Canis lupus familiaris: one gene and its partners. The main gene of each other region encodes a partner of the protein of the gene in region 6 in a complex. Links are inferred from orthologs where the notes say so. Each region holds a gene or a part of one and is shown on either strand. Other genes may lie near its edges. The genes, in order: FBXL13, DRC1, IQCG, CCDC153, DRC7 and TCTE1.

Region 1 (5,419 bases), on a different chromosome or scaffold from region 6:
CCATTAACTGGAAGCCTTACTGAAAACAATTAACATATTTGGTATATGTCTTATATACGGTATTCTTACAATAAAATAAACTAGAGAAAAGGCAATGCTAAGAAAAACATAAGGAAAATACACTTACAGAACTGTGCATATATTTATTGAAAAAAAAAATCTCGTGTAAGTAAACCTGCACAGTTTAAACCCCTGTTGTTCAAACGTCAGCCAGAACTGTAAATCCTCTCTTTGATATAAATGGCATTTAAAAAAATATTTTATTTATTCACGAGAAACAGAGAGAGAGAGGCAGAGGAACACGCAGAGGGAGAAGCAGGCTCCATGCAGGGAGCCCCATGGGGGACTTGATCACAGGACCCCGGGGTCATGACCTGAGCTGAAGGCAGGCGCTCCACCACCGAGCCACTCAGGTGCCCCAAATGACTTTTAAAAAGCTAAGTAACCGTCTTGCCAGTTTACATGTAAGAAAGTCATTCTTAGGGGCTTTTGGGGTCATCTATGTGAAATGTAAACATCAAAAGATGGAGCGCAGACCCCTAAGTTTAGCCTTGGCGCCTGGCTCCACGTGGTAACCACCTGCTCATCATAAAGATCCCGAGAAGTCTTATTTTCCTCTGGATCAAGGCAATTAGCTAACAGCGATAGCCACCCCGATTACCAGCGAATTTAGGATGGACTCTGTGTGAATGGTGCTGTCAAGCCCTCTTGAGGACAAGTTCCTGTTTATCTTCAGAACATGCAGAGATGACACGAAACAGACTTTATCCGCCAGATACACGAAGTGAAGACACGTGTGTCTTCTCAATCCCATCAGCTGATCGCCTGTGATGGGCACGGCAATCTGGAGTCGCGCTTATTCAACAATAAAGCTTTAGTTCTTTCCTCCATTTGTAGGGAGGAGTTTCTTGGTTGGCATCCGTGACCCGCACTATCCTAGAACACCCAGCAAATCCTCGGAATCCCGATGCACCACCGGCTTTGGGGCAGCAACCACCCCGGCGCTGGGTCGCGGGGGGTCGCGGGGGGGGCGCCCCCAGCTCCCCGCGCGGGCAGCTGCTTCCATCCGCGGCCCCGGGACCTCCGCAACCTCGTAACCGAACCGCAGGGAGTCCCCGGGCCTCCGCGCCGCGGCGGGGCCCCCGCCCTCCTTCCTCAGGGGCGGCCGCAGGCACCACCGCACCTTCCGCGGCGGGTCCTGACCCTGAGGGGCAACCCACGCGCTTCTGAGAAACCACCCAATCCTCCGCGGGGACGCCGCCCTCAGCCAGGAAAATCCGGGCGTTTTTACCCCGGGATTTTGGACGAGGTGGACGCAGGCGGCAGCTCAGAGCCCCAGCGAGGGGGCCGTCGTCCGTGCCCCCGCCCCCGCCCCCCGCCCCGGCCACCTGCCGGGCACCCCGTGGCCTCACCTGCCGAGCGCGAGGGGCGCAGCCGAAGCCCGCGGGCGCCTCGCCGCCGGCCCCGCGCCAGCTTGTAAATGTAGTAGCAGGCACCGGCCCCGAGGACCAGGCCCGCCGCCACCCAGCCCACGTCCCGGGCGCCGCCCATGCTGCCCTGGGGCCGGGGCGCTGCGCTGGGCCTGGCGCGCGAGGCGGGGAGCCGCGGATCCCGCCTCAGCCCGAGCGCCGGCGCCGGGAGGACACAGGAAATGGGGCCCGAGCCCCGCCTCCCGGAAACGGCCCTGCTGACACGGAGGGACCGCCCACTGCGCCCCGAGCGGCCCGGCGGGGCGGCAGGGGCGGAGCGGGGGCGGGGCCGGAGCGAGGGGGCGGAGCTAGGGCGGAGCTCCGCGAGGAGGCGCAGGGACCGCGCGCACCGAGGGGACTCACTGGGGGACGCGGTCCCCGTCCAGAGGTGGGCTTCCCCTCGCTCCCGCCCGGGCTCGGGCCCGCCTCCACGCCCGGCGGCTCTCCTCGGCTCCCGGCGGCTCCCGGCGGCTCGCGGCGGCGGGGGCGGGGGGCTCCGGGGCCGCGCCCGCCCCGCCCCGCGGTTGCCAGGGCAACGCCGGGACGCGCTAGCGGGCGCGGGGCGCGGAGTCTGGGGGGCCCCGGTCATGGCCTCGCTGCGCACCGCCGACTCCCGGCTGAGGAGCTACTTCAAGGAGAATTACATTCCTCAGGTGTGCGAGGTACTGGAGCCCGCGGCGGCGGCGGCGTTAGAGCAGCGGAGCCCGAAGACGTCCGGGAGGAGGGGCGGGGGTTGGGCCCGGCCGGGAGCCGGGGGCGGAGAGGGCAGGCGGCGCGGCGCCCGGGGCGGACCGGCTCGGAGGCCAGAGCACGGGGCGCGGGGCCCGGGACAGGAACCGCGAGCCCCGCACTTAAGGTCTGGGCAAGAGGCCCGGGGCCGCAGGAGGATGCGCAAGTGGTCGGGAGAGCGAGCGGGCAGCGGCGGGCCCCGGGGGAGGCGGAGCCTGGGGGCGCCAGGCGGCAGGCCCCGACCCCACAGCCCGACCCTGCCTGACCAGGGGCCCCTCCCCCCGTCGTTACAGCAGGAAGGACTGGAGAGGCCCGGCGGGTTTTGTAGGTTTGGGGATTAGGAAAGCAAGACCCGGTGACTGCCATTTTCTCGACAAAGATTTGGTGAGACGTATGCTAAGCCGTGCGTGTTTGCGCGGGTTTGGAGGCTGCAGAAGGGGTCTGAGCAGAGACACGTGTGTGGAGACTGAGGGGGAGAGAAGTCTGGGGAAAGAGACGAGGAGAGCCCGGCAGCCCTGAGAGCCCAGCTTGCGAAAGTGACTGCTGTGCACTTGGGAGGGCAGTTCGGTGCAGCCTTTTTGAATGGTTAATTTAAATTTATTAAATGTTGACTACATATAGCCTTTGACCAAACATTTCACTTCTAGGGATCCACTGGAGAGATAGGCTTTCACGTGTATCCAGAAAGCTGTCCGAGGATATTCATTATGGTGAAAATAGTAAATAACTTCTATATGAATAAGGGAATGAGATAGTATATAAAGTATGTGTATACCTTTTGAGAAGAAAAGCTCTCCAAGACATAGTTTAAAAGAAGAAGAAAAATGCAAGTTGCCCCAGAAGTGTCTCCTACAATGTAGCTACTGTGATTTCCTTTTTTTTCTTATTTTAAAGATTTTATTTATTTATTCACGAGAGACTCAGAGAGAGGCAGAGGGAGAAGCAGGCTCCATGCAGGGAGCCGGATGTGGGACTCGATCCTGGGACTCTAGGATCACGCCCTGGGCGGAAGGCAGGCACTAAACCGCTGAGCCACCCAGGGATCCCTACTGTGATTTCCTATGTCTGTGTGTAGCGACGTTTAAGACAATAATAATGCATGCATAGAACATATGCAAAACTATTAATAGCAAATGTTTGGGGGGAATGCTTTTAGGAGAGAACCCTAATTTTCTTTGCTGTGTATACTTGTGTATTGTTTTACTTTTTTTCTGCTGAGTCTCATTCATGTTTTACTTCTACACGATTATATTTCAAAATATGTAGAGAGCATGGCACTCATCTTCCCCAGGGTGTAGTTTTTCTTTCTTTTCTTCTTCTTTTTTTTTTTTTTTTAAGATTTTATTTATTTATTCATGACAGACACACACACACACACAGAGGCAGAGACACAGGCAGAGGGAGAAGCAGGCTCCATGCAGGGAGCCCAACGTGGGACTCAATCCCAGGTCTCCAGGATCATACCTCAGGCTGAAGGTGGCACTAAACCGCTGGGCCATCAGAGCTGCCCTGGTTTTCCTTAAGTAGCAGTCAGTAAACCCAATAGAGGTACAGAAATAAGATTGACTTCATCCAGGAGAGGTGTTGGCCAGGCATATAGTGTGGAGGGGCAGCGGGGAAGGAGCTAAGCTTTTTAGGGTACCTGAGTGATGGGCCAAGGGACTGGGTATGAGGTGAGAATGGGACCGGATATGATACATGGGTAGAAAGTGGAGGTTCCTAAGGAGTAAAGAGGATTAGCAGGAGTAACTGAGTGTGGGAGCTGGAAAAATAGGAGGGTAGGGGTCCGAAAGTGGAATATTTGGGTTTAAGATTTAGATCACTCAGAATAGCTGCGATGACCCTGTCTTGGTTGGCTGTGAGATACATAGCAGAAAGTGGGCTCGAGCTGAGGGTCCGGGAGCATCAGAGAAGTGATAGCCTTTCCTCACCTTGCTCTCCACTTCCCATAAGCTGGTAGAGGCATCCCTGGTTCCTCCTTTGGGTGAGAGCACCCTAGCCCACCAGCCTACCACATTGCTTTGCTCCCAGAGAAGGGGAGCCCTCAGAAGTGCCCTTCACTGAAGGCGATATTCTCATGAGCCCTTCCGTCACTTCTGACCACGTTACCAGCGGGGCAAGAGAGCAGGCTTCTGGGAGCCCCGCTCCCTCCTTAGCCTGGTTACCCACTTCCCCTAAAGGACTATCAGGATGAACCCGTTGAGCCTCATATCCCTACACAGCTACTCATCTGACCCGATTCAACAGGACTAGCAATCCTCTAAAACCCATCTTCGGCAAGCTTTGGAATACATACATTTTTTTTTTTTTTTTTTTAAATCAGGACTTCCCTGCATATTTAACCTCGTCTGAATTTCGCCCGCCTATCCTGAATAAAACCTGGATGTCATTTCCCTGCAAACCCCTGCATAGAGGCTGATTTAAAGAAAACAAACAAACCACAAAACACAACCCTGCTTGACTTATTGGGTTACTGATTCTATTGATTGATATTTTCCATCAGTTTTAGAAAATTTTTGATCATTTTCAAATAATGCTTCTACCCAATTCTCCTTTCTCTTTCTGGGACTGCAATCGTAATTATGTTAGTTTTTCCCCACCCCCTGCTCTGTTTTTTCCTTATTTTTCTCTTTGTGCTCAAGTTTGGATATTTTTCATGATTGTCTTCAAATTTATTGATTCTGTTTTATGCTGTGTCCAGGATATTGTTAATAAGTATATCAAATGAATTCTTAATTTCAAACAGTATATTTTTCAGTTTTAGAATATCAGCCGATTCTATTTTACACATTCTGATTAAAATTTTGCCTGTTTTCAGCTATTTTGTCTATCATTTCCTGTTTTCTTTAATATGTTGTCATTTTAAAATCATTGTTAACATGATCAGCTTTGAAGACTCCCAGAATGGGATAATTGTTGAAACTGGGTATGTGCACATAGGGGTTCATTATACTCCTTTACTTTCTGTATGTTTGAAGTTTTCCATAATAAAAAGTTAAAGGATAGTAATGGCTGGCTGTGTTTTCTCATACCGTACGTAGTTAGGGTCTGGCTGGAATGACAGGTGTGATTGGCTGGTCAGTCATTTTCTGTTTGCTCGCTGTATTAGTTACCCATTGCTATGTCATACAACTGGAAAACTTAGTGGCTTAAAACAACAAGAATCATTTTGTTTGTTTAAAAATCTGAATTCTGAAAGGTTTTTCAGGGAGAGCTTGTGT
Region 2 (5,222 bases), on a different chromosome or scaffold from region 6:
GGAAACACTTCTTCATGTTTTTCTTCCTCCCCCTCCTCCAAATAGTTTAATGTAATTAAAAGGTATTGATCCATTTGTTTTCTTGTTTCAAATCAGAAATTTTACTTTTATTTTTAAATTTTTTTCACTGTCCTGGTTATATAAACAAAGTTCAATCAAAGAAAACATTCACTGTCTGCTTTCCTTTTCAGGCTTTTTTTTTTTTAATCCCCTGCTCCAGGTGTTAAACTCATTAGGTACACCACTGCACCTCACATATTCGTTTTCTCACCAGCACCACCAGCCATTCCATGTGGTCTTTATGTCATGGAGACAACCCTTTGTCAGCGATTCCTTTTCTGTTTCTAATTCCTTTTCTGAGCTCTCTTCTCATCTCTTTTTATCCTTTTTTCCAGAGTAAATTCAATCCATTCCCATGGTTTTAAATACAATCATAATGCTGTTGACCTCTCTAATCTAGAATTGTCTTCTGAGTTGAAGACCCATGTCCAAATGCCTAATGGACATCTTGGTTTTAAAGTCTTCCAAAATCCAATTTCACTGAATATGTCCAAAGCCAAACTCTTGATTTCCAAATCCTCCTGACTCACTTCCCCCATCACCATCTTTATCATTTCAATGCAAGGCACTACCATCTACTCAGCTGTTCAAGCCATTCTTGCTTTTTCCCTGTCTTTGACTAGCATATCTAAAATCAGTAAATCCAGTCAGTTTAAGCTGTAAAGCATTTCTTGACTACATCTGCTTTCTCTCCAAACCCACCAGACCAACTTCATCCCTCACAGAACCAATGCAACTGCTTCCTAACTGTCCTCTTCAATTATACTTCTGGCTTCTGCAAACCAATCCCTCAGACAGCAATCAGAGTGATCTTAACATACTTAGAAATTTGAGAAATTCCCACATTAAGTTGTTGGTGAGTGGGTAAGAGTTATCATGGGAGGGAAGGCCAAGTGGACATCTTTAAAACTGTACCTGAATACATAAAAACAATCACAAAGTGGGGGCTAGGGAGTGGGGATGGTGGAAATTAGTATCACCCTTAAGGATCTCAAGGATACAGGAGTGGTGGTCCCCCCCCCCCCCCATCATGTTTCCATTTAGTTCACGGGTCTGGTCCCTGCAAAAACTGGTTGCATCTGAGAATATGATTATCAATACTGCAAGCTCAACCAAGTAGTAGGCCTCATTGCTGTTGCCATGTAAATGTGGTATCTTTGCTGGAGCAGTGTAGAGTGGTCTTATGTACATACAAGGTGGCTGCTGATTGGGTCAAATGTATTATTTTCTACCTAAATCAGGAAAAAGAATCAGAAGTTCACATTTACATGGAACAGACAATAATATATACACATATAATTCTCACACTCACAGCGTCATGTTGATTCTCCTGATCTCTGTCAAAACATAGACTGAATAAATCAGGACCATTTGGATACCCCAGAGAACATCACGTTGATCCACTACATCAAGATTGACCTGAGAGCTAGATATGACCCATCTGTTTTTGTAGGGCTCATAAGAAAAGAATGATTTTTACACTTTTTAATGATTAAAAAAAAAAAAGGAACAGATCAATAGGAAGAGCACAAAGGATTTTTAAGGCAATGAAACTATTCCATATGATACTATAATGGTGGACACATATCACTATATATTTGTCAAAATCCATAGAACACCAAGAGTGAATCATAATGTAAACTATGAACTTAGGGTGATGATGTGTCAATGGAGTTTCATCATTTGTTTTGTTTTGTTTTTTTTTTAAGATTTTATTTATTTATTCATGGGAGACAGAGGGAGAGAGGCAGAGACACAGGCAGAGGGAGAAGCAGGCTCCATGCAGGGAGCCCGACGGGAGACTCAATCCCGGGTCTCCAGGATCATGCCCCGGGTCGAAGTCAGTGCCAAACTGCTGAGCCACCCAGGCTGCCCGAGTTTCATCATTTGTAACAAATGTACCATTCTGGAGGATGTTGATAGTGGGACAGGCTGTGTATGCATGGGGGCAGGTGGTATATGGGAAATCTCTGTACTTTCCACTCAATTTCGCTGTGAATCTAAAATTTCTCTTAAAAAATGAATTCAGAAAAGAAGATCAAAATCTGAAGAAAATTTTGTGACACATGAACATTATATGACATTCAAATTTCAACGTCTTTAAGTGAAGTTTTTTTTTTTTTTAATTTACTTATGATAGTCACACACAGAGAGAGAGAGGCTCAGAGACATAGGCAGAGGGAGAAGCAGGCTCCATGCACCGGGAGCCCGACGTGGGATTCGATCTCGGGTCTCCAAGATCACACCCTGGGCCAAAGGCAGGCGCTAAACCACTGTGCCACCCAGGGATCCCTTAAAGTGAAGTTTTATTGGAACACAGCCATACCACTCTGTGATCTAATGGCCAGCAAACAAGAAGTCACCATCTTGGTAGGATAGGTGACCCTGGCTAGCAGGACAGGGTACAAGTGCTCTTACACAGTGAGGGTGTTCAGGAATTCAGAAGATCATGCAGGTGCCTCTTAGAATCCTCTTGTGACAGCCCACTGTGCCTATGAGTAGACAGGTGCAACAACCCTGTCCTGAGAAGGGTATGATTATCAGGCACAGACCCTTCAGGAATGAGGGTTTGTGTCATACAACCAGATAAGCTACTGAGACCAGCAGAAGTGACAGCTGAGGTCCACTCCAGAAATGCTTGTGGAAGGCAGGCAGGTGGGGATGGGAAGGAGGAAAGAAAGACCTCTGAGAGGAGGTCACGGATGGCCTGTGTCTGCAGTCCATTGCTCGCAGTGCATGGCACAGCAGGCTTTCAATAAATTTTTAAAAACTTCCTGCTGCAGAGACTATTATTTCCGTCTTTGACTCCACAAGTGTATTGAATGTGTTCATATCCCATACTTTGGTTGAACCTTCCGGAAGAAGTTTTTCCTAGCTCACCGCCTATCTTTGCGCTCACACGTGGGCCCCGCCCGCCCCGGGAAGGCGCCCGCCTGGTCCCCGCCTCCGCTGCCGACCGCCCGGACCCCCGCTCACCGCCTCCGGGCTTCCAGTCGCGCCGCGATGCGGAGGCGCCGGGCCTGGATCCGCTCCTGAGGGTTGTCAGAGTATATGGACGGCCCGAGAATCGGGGTGGACAAGTCTTCCTCCTCCTTCTCCTCCAGAACCCCCAGAGATCCCGGCGGATTCATGGCAGGTGCCTCCCGCCCCAGGCCCGCGGCGCCTGGACCACCGCCGGACCACGGCCCCGTTGCTAGCAACAAGTCGTCGCCAGGGAAAAGCAGGCACCTGACCCGCAGCTGGAGCGCGCGCGAACAGCTCCCAGGCCACGCCCACCTGAGGCTGCACGCCCCCCTGGGTTCTGTATTCTTCTCCCGGAGAGAGAACGGGACTTAGGCTCTACCTTAGTGGGGTGAAAATTACATCAGTTTCGTTCAGCACTGTACAAATAGCGCCGAGCATAATGCCTAATATGTAGTAAGTGCTCAACTAGTGTTTGCTGAAAGAAGTGTACACAGATGTATATGTATGCTCGCTGTAGTTATTTATAATGTTAAAACACTAGTGTGACCCTGAAATCCATCAATAGGGAACTGATAGGAACGCCTGGGTGGCTCCGTGGTTGAGCATGCCTTTGGCTCAGATCGTGATCCCGCGGTCCTGGGATCCAACCCCACATCAGGTTCCTCGCAGAGAGCCTGCTTCTCCCTCTGCCTGTGTTTCTGCCTCTCTTCTGTGTCTCTCATGAATAAATAAAATCTTTTTTAAAAAAATGGGATTGATAAAGCTTTCACGGGATGGATAACAATGTAGCTACTAAGAATGGGTCTGACCTACAAAGACCTAAAGATGTATGAAATGAGGAAGAAAGGATGTAACACAAATGTGTAGAATGTGATCCAAGTTCTATTTGAAATATATCTAGTACATATGGTCAAAAAATGAGCACAAAGTAAGGCCAAAGAAGTTACTGCCTGTGTTCTCTTCTAGGAGCTTTATGGTTTCAGATCTCATATTTAGAGAGATGTTCCCCAACATCGTTTGAAAAGACTTTTTTCTCATTGATATTCTTTCCCGCTTTGTTGAAGATTGACCATATAGTTGTGTGAGTTCATTTCTGGATTTTCTATCCTGTTCCACTGACCTATGTGTCTGTTTTTGTGCCAGTACCATACTGTTTTGATCAGCTTTTAATTATAACTTGTAAGTCTGGAATTGTGATGCCTCCAGTTTTGCTTTTCCTTTGCAAGGTGGCTTTGGCTATTTGGGGTCTTTTGTAGTTCCATACAAATTTTAGGATTGTTCTAGTTCTGGAAAAATGCTGTTGGTATTTTGAAAGGGATAGCAATAAATGTGTAGATTGCTGTGGGTAATACAGACATTTAATTATTTGTTCTTTCAACCCATGAGCATGTAATGTCTTTCCATTTCTTTGTTTCATCTTCTATTTCTTTCATCAGTGTTTTAAAGTTTTCAGAGTACAGATCTTTTACATCTTCGGTTAGGCTTATTCCTAGGTGTCTTATTGGTTTTGGTACAACTATAAATGAGATTGAATCCTTTCTGCTGCTTCATCATTGGTGTATAGAAATACAACAGATTTCTGGGGTGCCTGGGTGGTTCAGTCAGTTAAACATTCAATCTTGATTTTGGTTCAGGTCATGATCTCAGGTTGTGAGATCAAGCCCCATGTCAGGATCTACACTGGGCATGGAGCCTGCTTAAGATTCATTCTCTCCCATTCCCTCTGCCTCTACTCCCACTCTCAAAAAAAAAAAAAAAAAAAAGAGAGAGAGAAAAGAGAAAAGAAATATAACAGATTTATGTACATTGATTTTGTAGCCTGTGTGTTGTATGCAAGTATTGAATCATTATATTGTACACCTGAAACTAATAATACACATGTTAACTGATTGGCATTTATTTTTTTCCTTTTTTTAATAATAAATTTATTTTTTATTGGTATTCAATTTGCCAACATACACTGATTGGCATTTTTTTTTAATTTTTATTTATTTATGATAGTCACAGAGAGAGAGAGAGGCAGAGACACAGGCAGAGGGAGAAGCAGGCTCCATGCACCGGGAGCCTGATGTGGGATTCGATCCCGGGTCTCCAGGATCACGCCCTGGGCCAAAGGCAGGCGCCAAACCGCTGCGCCACCCAGGGATCCCCCACTGATTGGCATTTAAATAAAAAAACAAAAAACAAAAGGGATACAT
Region 3 (4,709 bases), on a different chromosome or scaffold from region 6:
TGCTGGTGGGTTGTGGTGAAGACAGATCTTTTCTTAGGGAGCAACTTAAAAGGAGTTCATACAACGGACAACGACCCTGGGCCCGTACTCCACTGCTTGTAGGCCTCCTCTCTTTTGTATACTGCAGGTGAAGATCCGGGGTGACGCTGCAGTGCACCTGGTATGCTTTGATCAAGATTTGACCATCACTAGTCTGTCCATATTTTACATCTTCTGTTCCCACATGGTCACCACAGGAGGCCACAAGTTGTGCCGAACAGCAGTAAGGAGGGAATAATCTGAGGCGCATGACGACGGCACAAAACCAGATGCCTTTGGCTTGGCACAGGGCAGCTGTAGACCAATGTCAAATGACCTTACTAAGTTATATAATGCAGCACCTTTTGCTTGCCGTAGGCAGAAACTCCTAGAGTTTTAACTCTGCATTTCTGATCTTTGTATTTTTACTCTGAAAGACTTAATATTCAGCTTGAAAAAGACAACTGACCAGAACATTTTCTTGAGTTTTTGAAAGTGTATCTTTGTATGGATGCTATTTAATGAATACCTAACTGTTTCACATGGTCAGGTTCTGTGAGAAACAAAATCACGATTATTTATATGGGCTGAGGTTTTCTAGAAAAGGCTTTCTGGACGTAAGTGGTATATAAGCAGGGCCTCAAAGAGAGACTGAGTGGTTAAGCAGGTGTACAGATTCCGGCCAGTGAGGAAAGGAAGCCATCCCATTCCACTCTAACTGAAGCCTTCCAAAACTCCAGACTTGGTCGCCAACCGCCTTACAGCTTGAATTAGAAGGGAGCAGAGAAGCAAAATGGCAAGAGACGGGAAAGGGAAGTGTAGAGAAAAGGAAGGGGCAAAAGTGAGCCCCAAAAGACCCCTCTAAAAATGAGTTTTTTTTTTTATGAGAACCACAGAGAGAGAGAGAGAGAGAGAGAGAACAAGCTGGGTGTGGGGTGGAAGAAGGGCAGAGGGAGAGAGAATCCTGAAGGAGACTCCCTGCCATGCAGGTCCCCCTGCCCCCAACACGAGGCTGATCCGACCCCAAGATCATGACCTGAGCTGAAATCAAGAATTGGCTGCCCAACTCCCTGAGCCACCCAGGTACCACCTAAGGTGTTATCTTTAAGTAATTTCTGCACCCAATGTGAGCTCAAACTCATAATCCTGAGATCCAGACATTCCACTGACTGATCCAGCCAGGCGCTCCAAAAGGTTTGTTTGACTTTGTCAATTTTCTAGAAAAGGCTTTTGGCTAGATCGTAAGCTCTGTGGGGGCAAGGACCATGTCTATTAGGTCTCCACTGTTTAACTTAGTATGGTACAGAATGAATATTTTTTTAATGAATATTGAAACCTTAAAATTGCCGAGCACTTTGTGACCTGCCAAGGGTTTTCACTTACTCTCAATTAATTCCTTCTAATCACTTGCTGAGATATTCCAGGCAGGGCAGATAGTAATGAAGGTAAGACTTAGAGAATTTAACTGACTTGGCTAATACAGCTGTTGGGGGCTTGGGTGGGAAGACACCTGATTCTCTTGATCATTTAGACCAGTGCTCTTTCTACCAAAATGAAGTAGTAATGGGAAATCTTTATGCATACAGACGACCCAGATAGTGCACCTAGGAAAGAATCTCCCATTCCTGATGCTTAGAACTACTTCTCTTTCATTTTCATCTATACTATCCATGATTATTGGCTAAGTTTCCTACAGTGCAGAAACAGAAAAATAGATTCAGTTTCTTGTTGATTTATAGATACAAAAGGTAGGCTTCAGTCATTGGCTGAACTGAATGGAGGTAGAATGTATTTTATTTATTTTGTTATTTTTTTAAATTTTGTTATTTTTTTAAAAAGATGTATTCATTTTAGAGAGAGAGGAGAGGCAGAGGGAAAGGGAGAGAGAGTTTTAGGCAGACTCCCCGCTGAGTGGGGAGCCTGATGCCAGGCTCCATCTCACTGCCCTGAGATCATGACCTGACCTGAAATCAAGAATTGGATGCCCAACCGACTGAGCCACCTAGGTGCCGCCTGAATGTATTTTAATTTCGAAAACTGGGCTTACCTCTACAGAGTCGGAATGAATATATTGCTCACCTCAAGGACCAGTTGCAAGAGATGAAGGCAAAAACCAACATGGAAAATCGCTATATGAAGAGAAACACTGATCTGCAGATCTCCCAGACCCAGAAGAAATGTAACAGAACCGAGGAGCTCTTGCTGGAGGAGATAGAGGTAATCACTGCATTTGGCACGAGCATGGTGCATGGCATGTGGGCTTTCACTCTTCATCTGCCTCAACTGACAGAGGAGGGAGGAAGAGGAGATTTTCTTGATCTCTGCTCCATCTCTCCTGCAACTCTCACATTTGAGATTAGAAATAAAAACAAAACAAGGTCTGGTGTATTTGCAGGCAGAGATTCTGATGGGCTGTAGCCTACATCTTTTTGTAATGATGTCGAAAATCAATTGTACTTTCTTTTTTTCTTAAGATTTTATTTATTTATCCACTTTTATCCACAAGAGACACACAGAGAGAGGTAGAGACATAGGCAGAGGGAGTCGCAGGCTTTCTGCGGGGACCCCAATCTGGGACTCGATCCTAGACTCTGGGATCAGTCCCTGAGCAGAAGGCAGATGCTCAACCACTGAGCCACCCAGGCGTTCCCCACCCCCACCCCCCTTTTTAAAGATTTTATTTATTTTCAGTTGTACTTTATTTCTTTGGTCACTTTATCTGTATCTTATAAAACCACTTGCCATTTTTCCTAGTAATTAGGGAGAAACAAGATACTTATTAAGTGTGGGTTTTGCTGCTGCCTTCCTCACCCCACCGGTACCTTTTGTACCTCCAGTAAGAAATACAAAGTCAAGAGAGCTGAACTTCATTCAAACCTAAATTTATAAAGATGAGAAGTCACAGTGGAAAATATCAGGAGAAAGACACAAGGGGTAGACCCTCCTTAGAAAAGGAAGGCTAAAATGGCTAAATGAACAATGGGTTGGTGAGAGGGAGCAAACATGGGAAGTGCCCTCTGTGTGCAGGAGGACTGCTTTCTTTGGGCCCCTACTTAGTGGAAAGCTTACTCCCCAGGTATGGCGTAGGACTCGGACTACAAACCTTTCTTGTATCCTGGAATTTTCTTTTCGAGGCCTAAGAACCGTGTGCCCTTGAAACATTGTTTCTCTCCTTATCCAAGCCAGCAAATCGTGGTCCTTTTGTCCTGGGCTCTGGCATGTGTCCAGCACAATGCCCGACACATGGCTCAGTGATGTTCTTGAACACGAACTGGGTGGAAGGGAATTGATTTGCCACCCTAGTGCAATACAACAGGATTCTTGGGATCCCAGCTGGTAAAGAAAATCTGAGGGGCGCCTGGGTGGTTCAGTCAGTTAAGCATCTGCCTTTGGCTCAGGTCATGATCTTAGTTAGGTCCTGGGATCGAGCCCCATGTGGGGGTTCCCTGCTCAGCAGGGAGTCTGCTTCTCCCTCTCGCTCTGCTGCTCCCCCTGCTTGGGCTCCATCTCTCGTTTTCTCTCTTTCTCTCAAATATATATATTTTTTAAGATTTTATTTATTTATTCATGAGAGACACAGAGAGAGGCAGAGACCCAGGCAGAGGGAGGAGAAGCAGGCTCCCTGCAGGGAGCCCGATGTGGGACTCGATCCCGGGACTTTGGGATCACGACCTTACCTGAAGGTTAATAAAATCTTAACCAAAAAGAAATAAGGAAAGCAGCCAGGCAGCCAGCCTGAGATACTGTCACAGCTACACCTCTAATCTTGAGAACTTCTCATTCTGAACCGTGCTGGCAGGAATTCCTGATATTTATCGTTTTCACAGAAACTGAGGTTGAAAACCGAAGAAGAGAACAGGATTCATATGGAGATTGAAACGTTCCTTAAGAAGGAGCAGCAGGTGGGTCACCCAAACTCCACTTACAAAATACCATGTATGGCAAAAAAATTGTTTTTAAGGAAATAAATTATTTGAGGGATAAAAAAATCAGGGCAGCCCTGATGGCGCAGCGGTTTAGCGCCGCCTGCAGCCCAGGGCGTGATCCTGGAGACCCAGGATCGAGTCCCACATCGGGCTCCCTGCATGGAGCCTGCTTCTCCCTCTGCCTGTGTCTCTGCCCCTCTCTCTCTGTTTCTCATGAATAAATAAAATCTGAAAAAAAAAATCAACCAGAATTTTACTGGCCTAATGAATGAGCTTTAGACCATGTCTTGTCTCACAGTTACTCATCTGAATGAACATTTTATAAAGCTGTAATTTGAGCACAGGTAAAATTTTGTCTTCTGCCTTTATCAGCTAGCAATATATAACAAACTTTTCTTGCTCCTATATTCCTCATAGTCATAATTTTAAATTAAAATTTACTGATTCTTAAAATTATTAAAATAACATACTCTTAGTTGAGGGAAGTTTTTTTTTGTCAGTTGCTTTTTGCCTCATTTTTTTCATGTTATTATAGTGTCTTCATAAAAATAATTTAAAATAGCTTTATGTTCTATTGAATGGTCATGCCTTAGTTGACTTGTTACCCTTTATTTTGGATATTTAGATTATTTCCAAGGTTTCATTATTATAAATAATGCAGTAATGAAAGCTTTGCCAAAAAACTGTTTTCCTTCACTGTAGTTATTTACCAAAAATAAATCTGAAACATGACAGTATTATGTCAGAGAGAATGGTATTTTGTGA
Region 4 (3,583 bases), on a different chromosome or scaffold from region 6:
TCTCCCTCTGCCTGTGTCTCTGCCTCTCTCTCATGAATAAGTAAATGAAATCTTTAAAAAAACAAATCACCATGAGCCATGGCTTCATTGATCATGCTTCCAGAGTGAAGCCTCCATAAAATAACAAAAAGAGCTTGTGGTGGCCGAACAGGTGGAGGTGCTGGGAAGGTGGTACGCCTGAAGAGGGTCTGGGGCTTCCATGCTCCTGCCTCACCCTAGACATACTTGCCGGCTGTTCCTGAGCTGTGTCCTTCATAATAAACTGGTAAACTAGGGAGTAAACTGCTTCTCTGAGTTCTGTGAGCCACTCTAGCAAATGATGGAACCCAAGAAGGGGGTTGTGGGAACCTTTGTTTTTTGGTCAGTTGGTCAGAAGCACAGTGACAATCTGGACTTGACACTGGCAGTTGAAGTAGGGATTGGTCCCGTAAGCCTGTGGGATCCGGTGCTCTTTTCACATTAGTAGTGCCAGAATTGAATGAAATTATAAGGTACCCAGCAGGGGTCCACAGAGCTGTTGAAGAATTGCTTGGTGTGGGGGACCCCTCCCCTGACGTATATATGACCAGAAGTAAAGTAGTATTGGGAATGTTGTAAAATAGAAGAGCAACACAGTGTTCCCTTTATAGGTGGGCTATGGGATTGGCTAGGATTGAAGCCATCTGGAACTTGCCTTAGGCATGACTCCTGGACTCCCCCCATATATTGCAAGAGTTTGGAGACCAGTTACACCTTCTCTCTGTCAGCACCTTAGGATTGTGGGGGCTGGTGCCTGGTCACTGCTGGTCTATTAAAGAAATGGCCTTGCCCCCACAAATCTGGCTACCTGTGTTGGTGCCGGGGAGGGGTGTGGGTAGTGGGAGTAGGGGATGGTGATTTGAAAGGACCCAAAGGGCCCAAGATTCAAGGCATGGGGCCCAGTTTCTCTAAGAGAGGAGTTGAGAGTTTGTCAAATGTCAAATTTCTATCCTCTCATTCAATCTTCAGAGTAATGGGTCCGCCAGAACCAACATGCCCTCAAAGAGATATTTGTATCTGTCAAAAAGGCACAGACCACAGTTCTGTGGAGTTCTACATCAAGACAGCTTTATTGCTGGAGCCTCTCAGAGGCCCAGAGACTAGAAGCTTACAGCTTTATTTTATTTTATTATTTTATTTTTTTAATGTTTTATTTATTTATTCATGAGAGACACAGGGAGAGAGAGAGACAGAGAGAGGCGGAGACACAGGCAGAGGGAGAAGCAGGCTCCATGCAGGGAGCCTGACATGGGACTTGATCCCGGGTTTCCAGGATCAGGCCCTGGGCTGAAGGCGGCACTAAACCGCTGAGCCACCCGGGCTGCCCCGAAGCTTACAGCTTTAGAGATCCAGGGGGTTGAGTCCAAATTGGTGGAGCTGCTCCTTGTACTTGGCGTGAAGTCTCAGCACAGCCCCATCCCACTGAGGCCTGACTGCTCTCAGCTTGGCTAAGAGTTGGTCCAGGTTGCCCTGTGGACACCAAGCTTCAGGCTCCAGGAAGGGAGAGAGGGTAGAGCAAGGGTTTCCCTGGGCTGGTCTGCGAGCTTTCCTCCTAGCATCTTCTTCAGGTTCTTACTCTTACTAAGTAAGTGTGGTTGCGTGCCTTGGCTGTCTGCCCTCGGGGCAGAGCAGGGTTCTCTGTGGAGATGCTTCTCCTCCCCCCTGGTCTCCCATTGATGACAATGATAGTATGAACTAGTTGGGGTTCAGGGGAATGGGGGAGTCCTAGCTACTGGGGTGGTAGGGCTTCCAGAGGTGGTGGTGCTTACATGTAAGATTTCCTCGTACTTGGCCTCCATGTCCACTACATGGGCCCGAAGCTGAGCCAGAGTCTGGTCCCGCTCTCCGAGGGCCCGTTCAGCCTCTTGCTGCGCAGCCTCAGCTTCCCTCTGGCACGTCTCTGCAGGGCAGGGCGGGAGGAGGAAGGGGACTGGGTAGTGACATTCTACTTGTGAACAGAGTCTCCAAAGACACCTCAAAAGCAGAACTTGAATGGGATCATTCCAGACTCCCCCCCCCAGGATCATCAATTTTCCCATAGTTCGTATAAAGATCTGACATATACCATTGAGGTACAGCAGAGAGAGCAGTAGGCTTGGGATGAGAAATGTGCGTCCAAAGTCTGGTTGTCACTTACTACCTGTGTAACTTTGGGTACATCTCTCTCTGAGACTCAGTTTCTTCATCTTTAAAGAGAGATTGATACAAACCTTACAGACTTATTGTGAGTTAAATGTGAGAGTGTATGGGGAAAAATACCTAGTATGTACAGGAGGTGCTCCATAAATGCTGATCGAATTTAAATTTGAAATAAGGCAAGGATTATGAAAGGAATTCAGGGTCCGCATGGCAGATAAGCAACTCTTGGGTATCTGTAGCTAAGCTGAGGCTATTTTAGGGGCCCCTGGCTGACTCTTGGTCTCAGGGTCATGAGTTTGAGCCCCATATTGGGTGTGGCGCCTAGTAAAAAGAAAGAAAGAAAGAAAGAAACTGAGGCTATTTTAGGTTAAGGAAACTCTGAGGTCACAATTGTGAAAGATCTTATGTGTCGTGCTAAGATAGTTCAACTTTATCCTGTAACCAAGAGAGAAAGGAAAAACTTCCTGTCCTTTACATTTTTGCTTCTCTAAAAGGTTTATTCTTTGATTTAGCAAGTAATTATGTAGGGCTTGGCATGCCCAAGGCATTGAGGATATGAAAATAAATAAGTCAAATATCTTTTCTTAGTTTGCATTGTAAACATCAGCTAAGAGGGAATATGTTTTGAGACGCCTGGGTGGCTCAGCAGTTGAGCATCTACCTTTGGCCCAGGGTGTGATCCTGGAGTCCCGGGATTGAGTTCCACATCAGGCTCCCCATATAGTGACTGCCCCCCTCTCTCTGTGTCTCTCATGCATGAATAAATAAATAAAATCTTTAAAAAAAGAAGGAATATGTTTCTTTCATGACAGACATGGCAGTGGAAGGGAGGAAGATCCAGGTTTGGCGAGACCATCGAGAGAGGGAGACAGCGTGAGTCTCTCCGGTTTCTTTAGTTCCACCTTTGAGATTTTGGCCATCTTGAGCCCTCTGCTGCAATCCTCCACGGTGAGAGAGTCAGGGGGGACAATGGTCCAAGAGCCTCGATTGCAGTCTTCTAGAGAAGGACCATTGTAAGTCCATCCCTGCAGGCTGGACCTTGTCAGTGCTCTTTGGAGAGAAAGGGCTTAGGGGGTGGGGAAGCCTACCCAGCTTCTTCCGAAGGCCCATCACTTCTTCCTCCTGCTGCCTCCTGTGGGTCTCCATTTCCTTCTGCAGGGCTCGGCACTGACGACACATCTCTGTGGTGAGGGCAGAGGGTGACCAGGGCCCCGGGTGTGGATGGAGTGGTGGAGAAAGAAAGGGAAGTTGTGGGGGGAAGGGGGGAAGGGCCTGCTTTGTCTGGTGGGAACAAGAGCAGTAAGGTCTTCTCCGTTCCCAGGATTCTGAGAAGCTTTCAGAGCCTGAATACCTGGAGAGAAGCTCAGAAATCACACCCCTCTCCCTCACCCAGCTCAGGACCTGGATTCTAGCCTTTTTCCCCACT
Region 5 (5,176 bases), on a different chromosome or scaffold from region 6:
GAGGCATTAACACAATATGTACACAAGTTAAAAACAACAGCATGCAGAATGGTGCTCACTTTGGAAAAAAAACAATGGCCCAGAATAGGTGTCTATGACAGTCAGAGAATGGAATTGGGTATAGGGATAAAAGGGAATAAATAAATACACAAAAGAAGTGAGACCAGTCTGACATGCCACCTGTTTACCTTTCCCCCGCTCCTTGCTCACTATCACCCCAAACAACTTCCCCAGAGGTAATCGCAGGACACACTGCCCCGTGACCTTTCCCTCGGTTTTATTTATCCATCATGCTTTATTTCTCGTGACTGAGTAATATTCCCACCAGAATTTAAAATCATTATTTATTATTGAGAATTGAGGTGATTGCTATGTCTCCCCCAGGAGCAGCAAATGTCCAACCTTATCAGGATGGTGTTTCTGCCGACACGTTCCACCCCCCCACTCCCCCACAGGGCTGCTTTACAACTTTCAAGGCCCCTCCCTCCAATAACAAAAAAGTAAAAGTATATTTTTTCACTGCATTGGTACAAAGACCAATATAATTCAGGTGGACTCATAATTATATACTTGTGATTAGTCTATTCATTTTTTCTTCTGAATTTGAAAGATTAAAATTAATTTTCATGGGCCACTATGAGTTTTCCCTGTTTTGTGAGTCGTAGATGAAATCAGCCCATTTTCATGGGCTCTGGATGAGTTTTCCCTGTTTTGTGAGTCGTAGATGAAATCAGAAGCCCAACCTGGGCTAGAATCCAAGACTCATTTAGGTAGTTGGGTATTATCTACCATGATAAGCGGACACACCAGGTCCCACACTGGTTTCCACCTGTCTTGATGAGGGCCACACAGACCATGCATGCGGTAGAGGCAGTGGTGGCCTGGTAAATGCTTCACTGGGGGGAAAAGTCCTGGCGTATAACATTGGCCAATTTTATTTCTTTTTTCTTTTCTTTTTTTTTTTTTTAAGTAGGCTCTACACTGGGTGTAGAGTCCAACCTAGGGCTTGAACTCACAACCCTGGGATCAAGACTCAAGCTGAGATCAATAGTCGGACCCCTAACCGACCAAGCCACCCAGACACCCCAACATTTGCCAATTTTAAACAATTGGCATGACATCACTGAAGAGAAGGTGGGAAGAAATTCAGAGTAGCTTATCATTATGTAACATTTCCGTTATACAGATACAGTAGTAGGAAATAACTTCAAGAATATACATGCTGGTGAAATGTAGTAAAATAATTAAAAAGTAATGAGTTTTAATTACCTCCACTTCTAATATAATCTATTTATAAGTTTTTTTTTTAAGATTTAATTTATTTATTCATGAGAGACACAGAGAGGCAGAGATATAGGCAGAGGGAGAGGCAGGCTCCCTGCGGGGAGCCCAATGCAGGACTCAATTCCAGGACCCCGGGATCATGACCTGAGCTGAAGGCAGATGCTCAACCACTGAGCCAACCACGTGTCCATATTTATAAGTTTCTATAATTTAATGTGCAATCGTGGCTGTTTGTCAACTGGCTTGCAAACATTTCTGAAATTTTAACAATCAGCTCTTGCAAGTTGGCACAAACTGGCTCCAGCCTGTCACTTGCTGAGGGACCTACCACACATAGTCTTCTGGGCCCAGATCTAGACAGCAACAGAAGACTGCATTTCCCAGAAGCCTCCTCTCCCAGACCCTGCACTCTGCTTGGAAAGCTGTTTCCATGGAGACAGGCTAACAGATGGCCCAGACAGTCCTCAGAGGGGTGAGGAGTGAGCAGAGGCCCTGAGGTAGCTGGTGGTGGGGTAAGAAGTAGGGTGGTGATGGGAAGAGGGCTTTTTCTGCTGAGGGGCTTTCAGGCCTGATCTTTCTGGGGAAGCTGTGTGTGTGTGTGTGTGTGTGTGTGTGTGTGTGTGTGTGTAGGTTTCTGGTTGCTGCCAGGGAGGGGTGCAGAAAAGGGCCTGTGGGGTGGGGAGGTCCTCTGGGCAGGGACTGGCCTCCCTAAACCAGGCTGTACCTGAAGGGGCAGCCTGGTGTGGGAAATTAGTATAACAGGTTCTGGCTCAGTTCCACCTCTCATGTTCTGTGACCTTGGGCTTGGGGCCCATCTCAGTGCCTGTCATAGTTGTAACCCCCTGCTGCTCACAGACACCTTGGCTTTCTCCCCACTTCCTTCTTTACTTACCTCTCCCCCACCCCACCCCACCCCACCCCCGCCCCATCCCTTCTAGGGCTTCCCAACTTTATCGGGAAATAGATCCTGGTAGGTCCTAAGGTGTACGGTTTCCAGAGCCAGAAATATACGGCTCAAACCCCAGACTGCTACTTATTAGCTCTGTATTGTAGCCACTGCACTTAATGTCTCTAGGTCTCAATTTTCTCATCTGCAAAGTGGGTACCAAAGGAGCGTCTACCTCTCAGAGTCTGTAAGGGAAGAACTCAATTCGGTGCCCTATCTCCTCTGCTTCTCCTTTACTTCTCCTAAGGGACACTTTGCCCCACCCCCCACCTCTGGTCACCAAATGTGTGGGGGTTTCTCCCCACACCAATAAGTTCTCTGCGACCTCTGTCCTGCGGGCTGACACAGGGCTTGACCCAGAGAGCACAGGCTATGTCACCCCCCACATACTTGTCCAGGTGCCTGGTGGCAGCCTGCCCATGCCTTTCTCTGTGCCTCGGCTCCAAGCCTGGTGATGTTACCTTTCTTTCCTTCCTCTTTTCTCTAATCCCTATGGCATTAGCATCACTTGCCATGAAGAGAAGCTACTGTTGAATAAGTAAAATAAATAAAACTGCATTAGTAACTTTGGGCCACCTGCTCAGCCCTGACAATAGCTTCCACGCTGCGACCTGCTCTGTCTCTGTCTTATAGGGAGATCCGCAAACGGTGGAAAAGTGTCACAGACGTGCTGGCACCAAGTAAGACTTTCTTTCTCCCTGATGGAGGGGAAGTTGAGGGGGGCTCGCTTCCCGCCCCCAACCCCTCCCGGAGACGCAGGCCACCCTGGTGACTGAAGTGGGCCACCCTTGGTGCGTTCACCCCTCCCACAGAGACTCGGGCTCAGGACAGCCAGAGGCCGCCGGGGATGGAGGTCCTGAAGGAGAAAGTGGAGGAGGAGGCGGCCACGGAGCGGGCAGAGGCGGCCGAGCGGGGCGAGAAGCTGCTGAGGCCCCTGGACGCGCGGAGGGAGGAAGCCCCCATGACGCAGGAGATGCTCCGAGACCTGGAGAAGAAGCTGTCGGAGATTGAGATCGTCGTCCCGGAGCAGCCCTTGTGCGTGTCGGGGTCGGGGCTTCGGGCCAGACAGAAACAGCGGCTCCAGGGTTGGGAGGTGGGAGCCGACGCAGAGGGAAGCAGATACGAGTGAGGGCTCTGCTTTCCATCCGCCTCGTCCAGGTCCCCTCTCTGCCCCTCGTGAGCTGTGTGACCCGGGGCAAGTCACTCGGCCTCTCTGTGCCTCAGTTCCCTTCTCTGTTTAAAAGTGCACATGATAATAATGATACCCCTCTGGGCAGTTGTGAGGATTACACGAGGAAGGGCTAGCGCCAGCCAGGGTGCCAGCCCAGGTGCCAGGGGGCCACCTGTCTTGTGGGCACAGGACCTTCACGAAGGACTCAATCGACATCTCCAAGCTACCCCTCTCCTACCAAAGCAACACACTCAAGGAGGAACACCTGCTGCAAGTGGCAGACAACTTCTCTCGTCAGTACAGCCACCTGTGCCCAGACCGCGTGCCCCTCTTCCTGCACCCACTGAACGAGTGCGAAGTGCCCGTAAGGCCGGGTGGTAGAGGGTAGGACAGAGGCTGGAGGGCAGAGGGCAGAGGGAGGTGAGCCAAAGCCTGTGGGTCAGAGCTTGTATCTGGGCACAGCATAAACTCAAATGCCAGCATGCCCCAGCAGACTCCATGTGACTCACCCCAGGGACCTGTGGTGACCTGGAGACCCATGCCCATCTAAGGAGCCATGGATAACCAGCGCCCCACACAGGGCCTTGGCTTTGGGGGAGGGCTGGCCTCCCCTGGTGGAAGTCCTTCTTGGAGCCTGTGGTCTCTCCCCTTGCAGAAGTTTGTGAGTACAACCATCCGGCCCACGCTGATGCCCTACCCTGAGCTCTACAACTGGGACAGCTGTGCCCAGTTTGTATCAGACTTCCTCTCCATGGTGCCCCTGCCTGACCCCCTCAAGCCAGTAAGTGCCACCCCAGGCTGCATCCTTTGGCCCATGAGGCTGAGGATGGGAAGCCAGGGAGCAGGAGACTCAGGGAGGTTCAGGCCACGGCCCATAGTCTATCTGATCTGAGTCCCTCAGAGACCACCCCACCCAGGGGATGGGAGTGGGGGTGGGGAAATGGGCTCAGAGAGGATGGCCACTGGCCTGAGGTCACACAGCAAGGCTGGTCTCCTGGCTCCACCTCTTTGTCTCCTTTGCCTCCTTCTGCCTTCAGAGTGTTCCTTTCAAGACATGAGAGATGGGGAAAGGAGAGGGGGGGAGGGCCCCGCTGCCTGTGACCCCCGGCCCCATCTTTGGGCTTCTGTTCAGTTCAATTTGTTTCCCAACTGAGAATGGAGGGAACGAGGGAGAAAGGGATAGGTACACAGTGGAGAACTAAGGAAGGGAAGAGAAGGAAAGATCAGAAGAGAAGGTGAGAACTTTGGAAGAAAACCATTAAATGACCAATCAGAGAGCATTAGACCAGAAGCTTCCATAGTCCAGGGGTCTTTCCCATCAGGAAGTCCACAGCCACTTAAAATTATAGGCAAATGTGGATTGTACTTTATATACATGGGCCGTGGTCCCATCCCATTCTTAGCAGGCTCCCTAACCTGACAAAGTGGGGGAGCCCAGGTCGGGGGTGGGGATCCAGCCTGCGCCTTAGCCCTAGTGCCCAGCCGCTGGCCAGTGGGGGGACAGGTCGGGGGCTGCGGTGCCGGCAGTGCTGACCAACCCTCTGTGGCCAGCCCTCGCACCTATACTCCTCCACCACGGTGCTCAAGCACCAGAAGGGGAACTGCTTTGACTTCAGCACGCTGCTCTGCTCCATGCTCATCGGCGCTGGCTATGACGCCTACTGCATCAACGGCTACGGCTCGCAGGACATATGCCACATGGACCTGACTCGGGACGTGTGTCCGCTCACCATGAAGCACAAGGAGGTAGGTGCAGCTTGGGCTGCCACAGGCAT
Region 6 (5,440 bases):
TAATATATATAATTTCACAAAGGCTAGGAAGTTCCAGAAGGTCTTTTGTTTAAACAAGAGTCACTTTCCCCTCCAAGCATCCTTCTATAGGTGTCCTGTCACCTGTCTGATCCCTCACATAGGATTGAAAAGTCACCCAGCATCCAAATGAGAACCATTCTCATTGCCCCAAGTGCTTAACGAATGGGCTTTCCACACCAGGGGGTTCTGGGCACTCACAAAGGTGTCCCTAGCTGCTGAGACCCAGACCTGCCCTGTGAAAGTCATTACAGCAGTGCAGATCCTCACTGGTGCCGCTTGTTTCATTAACAGTAACTTCCCATTTTCAGGAAGGCAGGCCCTGGTGATTTGTCAATGAAATGAGCAGCAGGTACTGGTCAGCTGCTGACACTGTGGTGAGAACCAAAGGCATAAAACTTCCTGCACTTGTGGAGCTTTCTGCTAGCAGGGAAATACGCAGTAAAGAGAAGGCAGCAGATGGAAGGCAGCAATGAGGTCTGCAGAGAAGGCAGGACAAGGATTGGGAGGGGTGACTTCGTTGTTTCCTGGGAGGTGGCACTGAGTGGAGGGTATCTGAGGGAACAGTGCCCCAGACTGAGGGCACAGCCAGTGCAGGGGCCCTCTGGGGGAGGTGAGCCGGTGCAGTGAGTGGTAAGTGGCAGGTGATGGGGTCTGGAGAGCACAGGGGCCAGAGCCACCCAACTCTTTAAGACAAAGTGCAGGGCACGGGCCCCAAGCCTGAGCTGAAGCTGAGAAGTGGCAGCTCAGAGTGGGAGGAAGCCGAGAGCCAAAGGAACCCTCCTTCCCTAACAGGATGGATGCACTCAGGACCAAGCCAGACTCGGGAGCTCCACCTCTGTTCCCAGCTCTCTGTTGCTAGAGGAGGGAAAGGATCTCAGGAGATCCATCTCCAAGTTAAAGGCTCCCTGGTGACCAAGTTCCGGGGCCGTTTAGTTAAAATTATAAGTGTAAAGCACGGCTTCCCACATGATTTCTCATTCTAATTGCAACAGTTAAAGGGTTTGCGAGGGACCAGTCCCCACCGGAATGGGATGCCGGGGATTCCTTCTCGCTCAGCCCTGTGGGCTTGCAAAGCTGTACCTCCGGATCTCGGCCACTGCCACAGTGGCCACCTCTCAGTGACGCTCACTGGAAGCCCAGCTCTTTACTTTGGACACAGGGTGAGGAGTTGCGGTGACGTTTTACGATGAGTTATCCGAGCTTCTAAGATGTTAACTTACCCATGGCAACAGACTAGTAACTGGGAGAGCTGAAGGTAAAGCTAAACTGCCTCCATGTGAAACGTCCTACCATCCTGGTCACCTCTCCCCTCCTGAAGGACAGTTCTTATTAGCCAACCCCCCAGGTTGGTCCTTCCTGCCCGTCAGGAGCACCACATCCTGCCGCCCAGAGCTAAGGGGGACGGGGGGGGGGGGGGGGGGGTGACATAACGTTTAGTGCTGTGTGAAGGAGCGCTGTGGAGACCTGGAAACTTCCTGCCTGGTGCCTGACATCAGCCTTGTTCACATCCTGGAGAAAGGTGGAAGGTACCACACTGCAAGGATGCTGCAGCCCACAGCTCTCCTGCAAGGCTCGGGGCAACAGTAGGCCCCAGAGGAGATCCGGTAACCCCTGCAGGTGCCCTTCCACCTCCTCACCTTCCAGAAGAAACTGCGGATGCTTTTCCTTTGTCCATTCGTCACCGCGCACCCCGGTTCCACACAGAAGGTACCAAGAAGGAACAGCACTCCAGTCCGGAGCCCTGCCCCAGGCCCTACTCCTCCCCCTCCCCCAGAAAAGCCCATCTATTCCCAAGCGCGCTCCCCAGAACCTCGGAGCACGGCCCCCTTTCCCCCCACCCCGCCCCGCCCCTCCCCTCCCGGTTCCCAGGACCCACCCAGCGGCTCGCCGCGGAGGCCCGAGCGCACGCGGATGTAGGCGCGCACATGCGCACCCGCCCTCGGACCCGCCCCCTGGCGACGCGGGGCGTCCCTAACGACCGGCGCGGCTGCGCGGTGGGCCTGCAGGAAGGGGAGCGTCCGGCCTCGAGAGTGGGTGAGGTGAGCCCGGGAAGACAGCTCAAGCCCGGGCCTCCCTTATGGGGCTGAACTCCCCCTGCCCCCGCTCCCGCCTGGCTGAGATTGGCTTGGCTCTGAGCCCCGTCTGTCCCCACAGGAGACTCCCCACCCCACCCATTTGAGGCGGGACCCTTGCTTCTCCGCTAAGGTCACTGCATATTGGCCCAGAGGTTTAAGGTCTGCCAGTAAAGGGGTGCGGGGTTGGGGGGGGGGACACCACGAGAAGGAGGAAGGAGAGTGTGGGGCATCGGGTAGGTCGTGGAGGAGAGCAGTCCTGAGCCCCGGAGGAGCCGCAGGCTTCTCAGAAAGACGGACTCCCATTCCCAGCTCCTGCAGGCTGCAGTCCCTCCTACAGGTCCAGAAGCTTCAGTACCTCCCTTCCTCCCTCCCTCCCACAGCACGGCTGGTTTCCCTTGGTTACTAAGGAGCCGCAAGGGCCTCCTCACCCCTGGCAAGTTGGGGGAGGGACTCGCTGGCCTTTGGAGCTGAGCTTCCCTGCAGGAGTGTCTGAGCCCAAGGCAGGAGTAAGGGGTGAGGAATGAATACTCTGGAGCCCTTTTTAAGACAACAGACCCAAGTGGTCAGGAGTTGGGAGAAGGGCCAAGCCCAGGGGTGTGATAAGTGTGCCATCTCACTGGGGCCAATCACCAAGCATGCTGGGCCCAGGCTCCATCACAGAACTTTGCTGTCCTTCTTTTGTGATTTCACAAACTAAGAATTCCCAAGTGGGAATTTGGGAGGCATATGGCCGGAGGTAGGGTCTGATGGAGGCATGAAAGAGATCAGGAAAGTAAGACAAAAGCCCAGGGCCCCTGAGGACAGATGCCCAGGGAGGGGTCTCCTCTGGGATCCTAAAGTGAAGGAGAAGCTGGCTGAGAAGTCAGAGGAAGCACAGAGGGAGAAGTGGGTAGAGGATATAACCCATCTAGCCGAGCCAGCCCAGAAGGTAGTGTCCAAGGGGCACAGAGATGCTTCGGCTCCTCAGTTAAGAGGAAGGCAGGTAAAAAAAAAAAAAAAAAAGAGGAAGGCAGGTGAGAATGAGGACCAGGGATGTGATGAGCAGGAAGGGGAGAGAGTTCTCCCCCAGCCTCTTCAACTTTCCCCTTCAGGCAGTGGGGAGAACCGTCTGGCTACAGTGGTTAGATTTAACTGGAGACTTGAGAAGAATAGAGAAGGTTTGAGACGTCCGAGAGGAGGGAATGTGCTAGAGATTCAGGCACTGAGTCCCAGGTCTATGAGCAATATCAAGGGCCCAATGTGAGCCATGGAGCAGGAAAGTGCAGCTCTACAGAATGTTCTTGGGTCCCTAGAGGCCTCATGCTGAAGGATTCAGGCGACGGTCCAGTTCTGTGGAAGGGCCTCATGTCTGGCAGTGACTTAGGGGGTGAGGGAGTCTGGGCTGTTTAGGCCAGCATCTAAAGGGTTACCCCAGGCTTCACACTGGTGACAGGATGAGAAGCGCCCATGAGCTGCAGAAAATAGGAGGCCCGCTGGAAAAGTGCCATGAACAACTGAATCTGGACAGTTTAGGAAGCAATCCCAACAGCTTATTATTTCTATGCTTTTGTGCATGGAAGTGACAGAGAGCTTTGAATGGGTATCAGCTGAAACTTTAGGTCTCCCACTTACTAGCTATGTGATGCTTAGCAAGCTACTTATGCTTTCTAAGCTTGTTTCCCCATTTGTGCAATGGAGATAATAGTGTCATAATAGCAGGAATAGTCCTCAATTGAAGGAAGATTGAATGAACATACCTAGGTAAGTCATGTCACATCTTCATCACAAATCTAACACATATTTTGAAGGGTGGCTCTGGGCCCAGCATGACATGAATCCTCTTACACACATCAGCTCCTTTAAAATCTTCTGGATAATCTTAGGAAGTAGACACTACTAATTTCTACCCCCATTTTACAGATAAAGAAATGGAGGCTTAGTAGGGTGAAATGACTTCCCCAAGGCCTCACAGATGCTCCGGGGTAGAGTGGAGATTGGCCTTAATGCAGTATAATTCCTAAGTCCTTACCAGCTGCCTCCTGCTGTGCAAATGCTTTGAGAGCCTAAAACTCCATAAATCATAGCTGTGTATAGGCAAGATATGGTTCCCAGGACACTTGTCCAGCAGATGCAAGCCATCAAAAACAAGGCCAAGCTGGCCGAACTAGGGCATGTTGTCACTTAATATTACCTGTGCTTGGGCACATAGAGAATAGACTTTTACACCCAACCCTTTGAGTTATGGCCTGAATGTGATTTTAGGACCCTGGGCCCTGGTCCTAAGGACACAGAACAGAGAGCTGGTTGGGAGAGGATTGACCTTTCTACAGGGATTGTGGTCCTGTGTGGGGTTAGGCTGGATGATGGCTGGAGACACAGCATTGTAAAGCCCAACAGGCCTGTGAAACCTGTGCCAGGAAATGAAAGGTCACAGGACATGTCCCCACCTTCCCCATCCTAGAGTAAGCTGTGCATTTCAATAGGGGCACCAGGTGGTGGCACAAGAAGTGATCACTCCCCATGGCCCTGACTTTCTCTCTGGAATATGAGAAAAGAGAAGGATCAGAGTGTTCAACACACTTTCAGTCTTCATACTCTGGGATTCTCTGTCTACCCCATAGGTTCCCTAGGGAGAAAAGCTCCAAAGAGGAAAGTGGGTGCCATTTCTGGAGCTGTCCTCCTCAGGCCCTTAGGAGCTGTCGGGGTGCCTTTGGGCCCCTCACTAATGGGTGTCTATCCACCCCCCAGGCTTCCAGGAAAAATAATGCCACCTGCTACCACCCTCAGCTGCAGACTGGTGATGCCTGTGAAGTAGGTGGAGTTATCTCAGGTCCCCTGACTTATTCTCCTATGGGCCCTCCACCCGTGGTGATGTGTTCTCCTTGCCCTCTTCCTAACTTGACTTTTTGGATCTGAAATTCATTCACACAGAGGTGTGGATGCCTGATAAGAGGGGAGATATCGATATAGATAGATAGATATAGATATAGATATAGATATAGATATAGATAGATAAATGTATATGTTATGAACCAGTAATTTCCGTAGTAGGGTGCCAATGTCTCGTTGCTTTCCTGGCCTGGGGAGGCCTTTTCTGACAGGCTCTCTTTGCCTAAAGATAGGAGCCCAGCCTCCCAGGAAGCAGGGACATGCCTTCCTCTTTCCTGGGGAAGGGTGGAAAATGTGGGGAGGGGACGCACCCAGCAAACTGTGGAAGAGCAGTGCCCTGTGGTGACAGAGAGGTGACCGTGGGCCCAGCCCTCCTAGGTGTCCTAGGACCAGTCATTTCTCATCCCTAGCATGAAGATAAGAAGCCCTACCTCCACTGTAGAGTGGCTGTAAGACTCAAATGACAGCACAGCCCT

The links.
Region 1: TCTE1 (region 6) and FBXL13 share a complex: the UniProt entries of both Homo sapiens proteins name them as parts of the nexin-dynein regulatory complex. The link is inferred for Canis lupus familiaris from reciprocal best matches to the Homo sapiens genes DRC5 and FBXL13.
Region 2: TCTE1 (region 6) and DRC1 share a complex: the UniProt entries of both Homo sapiens proteins name them as parts of the nexin-dynein regulatory complex. The link is inferred for Canis lupus familiaris from reciprocal best matches to the Homo sapiens genes DRC5 and DRC1.
Region 3: TCTE1 (region 6) and IQCG share a complex: the UniProt entries of both Homo sapiens proteins name them as parts of the nexin-dynein regulatory complex. The link is inferred for Canis lupus familiaris from reciprocal best matches to the Homo sapiens genes DRC5 and DRC9.
Region 4: TCTE1 (region 6) and CCDC153 share a complex: the UniProt entries of both Homo sapiens proteins name them as parts of the nexin-dynein regulatory complex. The link is inferred for Canis lupus familiaris from reciprocal best matches to the Homo sapiens genes DRC5 and DRC12.
Region 5: TCTE1 (region 6) and DRC7 share a complex: the UniProt entries of both Homo sapiens proteins name them as parts of the nexin-dynein regulatory complex. The link is inferred for Canis lupus familiaris from reciprocal best matches to the Homo sapiens genes DRC5 and DRC7.

What each region holds. Positions count from the first base shown.
Region 1 is NC_049239.1:17,297,170-17,302,588, forward strand, and holds the start of FBXL13 (dynein regulatory complex subunit 6), read left to right. Parts: upstream 1-2,003; 5' UTR 2,004-2,056; coding exon 2,057-2,131; intron 2,132-5,419. Other genes in the region: ARMC10 (armadillo repeat-containing protein 10), read right to left, coding at 1,413-1,551. UniProt on the Homo sapiens protein: Substrate-recognition component of the SCF (SKP1-CUL1-F-box protein)-type E3 ubiquitin ligase complex.
Region 2 is NC_049238.1:20,543,485-20,548,706, reverse strand, and holds the start of DRC1 (dynein regulatory complex protein 1), read right to left. Parts: upstream 3,290-5,222; 5' UTR 3,192-3,289; coding exon 3,037-3,191; intron 1-3,036. UniProt on the Homo sapiens protein: Component of the nexin-dynein regulatory complex (N-DRC) a key regulator of ciliary/flagellar motility which maintains the alignment and integrity of the distal axoneme and regulates microtubule sliding in motile axonemes.
Region 3 is NC_049254.1:29,471,081-29,475,789, forward strand, and holds part of IQCG (dynein regulatory complex protein 9), read left to right. Parts: intron 1-2,073; coding exon 2,074-2,235; intron 2,236-3,845; coding exon 3,846-3,920; intron 3,921-4,709. UniProt on the Homo sapiens protein: Component of the nexin-dynein regulatory complex (N-DRC), a key regulator of ciliary/flagellar motility which maintains the alignment and integrity of the distal axoneme and regulates microtubule sliding in motile axonemes.
Region 4 is NC_049226.1:14,709,791-14,713,373, reverse strand, and holds the end of CCDC153 (coiled-coil domain-containing protein 153), read right to left. Parts: intron 3,339-3,583; coding exon 3,246-3,338; intron 3,155-3,245; coding exon of another isoform or gene 2,961-3,154; exon of another isoform or gene 1,932-2,960; intron 1,919-1,931; coding exon 1,788-1,918; intron 1,489-1,787; coding exon 1,360-1,488; 3' UTR 1,065-1,359; downstream 1-1,064. UniProt on the Homo sapiens protein: Component of the nexin-dynein regulatory complex (N-DRC), a key regulator of ciliary/flagellar motility which maintains the alignment and integrity of the distal axoneme and regulates microtubule sliding in motile axonemes.
Region 5 is NC_049223.1:58,042,847-58,048,022, reverse strand, and holds the start of DRC7 (dynein regulatory complex subunit 7), read left to right. Parts: upstream 1-1,670; 5' UTR 1,671-1,781; exon of another isoform or gene 1,782-1,796; intron 1,797-2,863; 5' UTR 2,864-2,910; intron 2,911-3,042; 5' UTR 3,043-3,077; coding exon 3,078-3,265; intron 3,266-3,590; coding exon 3,591-3,765; intron 3,766-4,056; coding exon 4,057-4,182; intron 4,183-4,952; coding exon 4,953-5,147; intron 5,148-5,176. UniProt on the Homo sapiens protein: Component of the nexin-dynein regulatory complex (N-DRC) a key regulator of ciliary/flagellar motility which maintains the alignment and integrity of the distal axoneme and regulates microtubule sliding in motile axonemes.
Region 6 is NC_049233.1:12,894,126-12,899,565, reverse strand, and holds the start of TCTE1 (dynein regulatory complex subunit 5), read left to right. Parts: upstream 1-1,947; 5' UTR 1,948-2,060; intron 2,061-2,495; exon of another isoform or gene 2,496-2,609; intron 2,610-3,122; exon of another isoform or gene 3,123-3,836; intron 3,837-4,823; exon of another isoform or gene 4,824-4,886; intron 4,887-5,389; exon of another isoform or gene 5,390-5,440. UniProt on the Homo sapiens protein: Component of the nexin-dynein regulatory complex (N-DRC) a key regulator of ciliary/flagellar motility which maintains the alignment and integrity of the distal axoneme and regulates microtubule sliding in motile axonemes.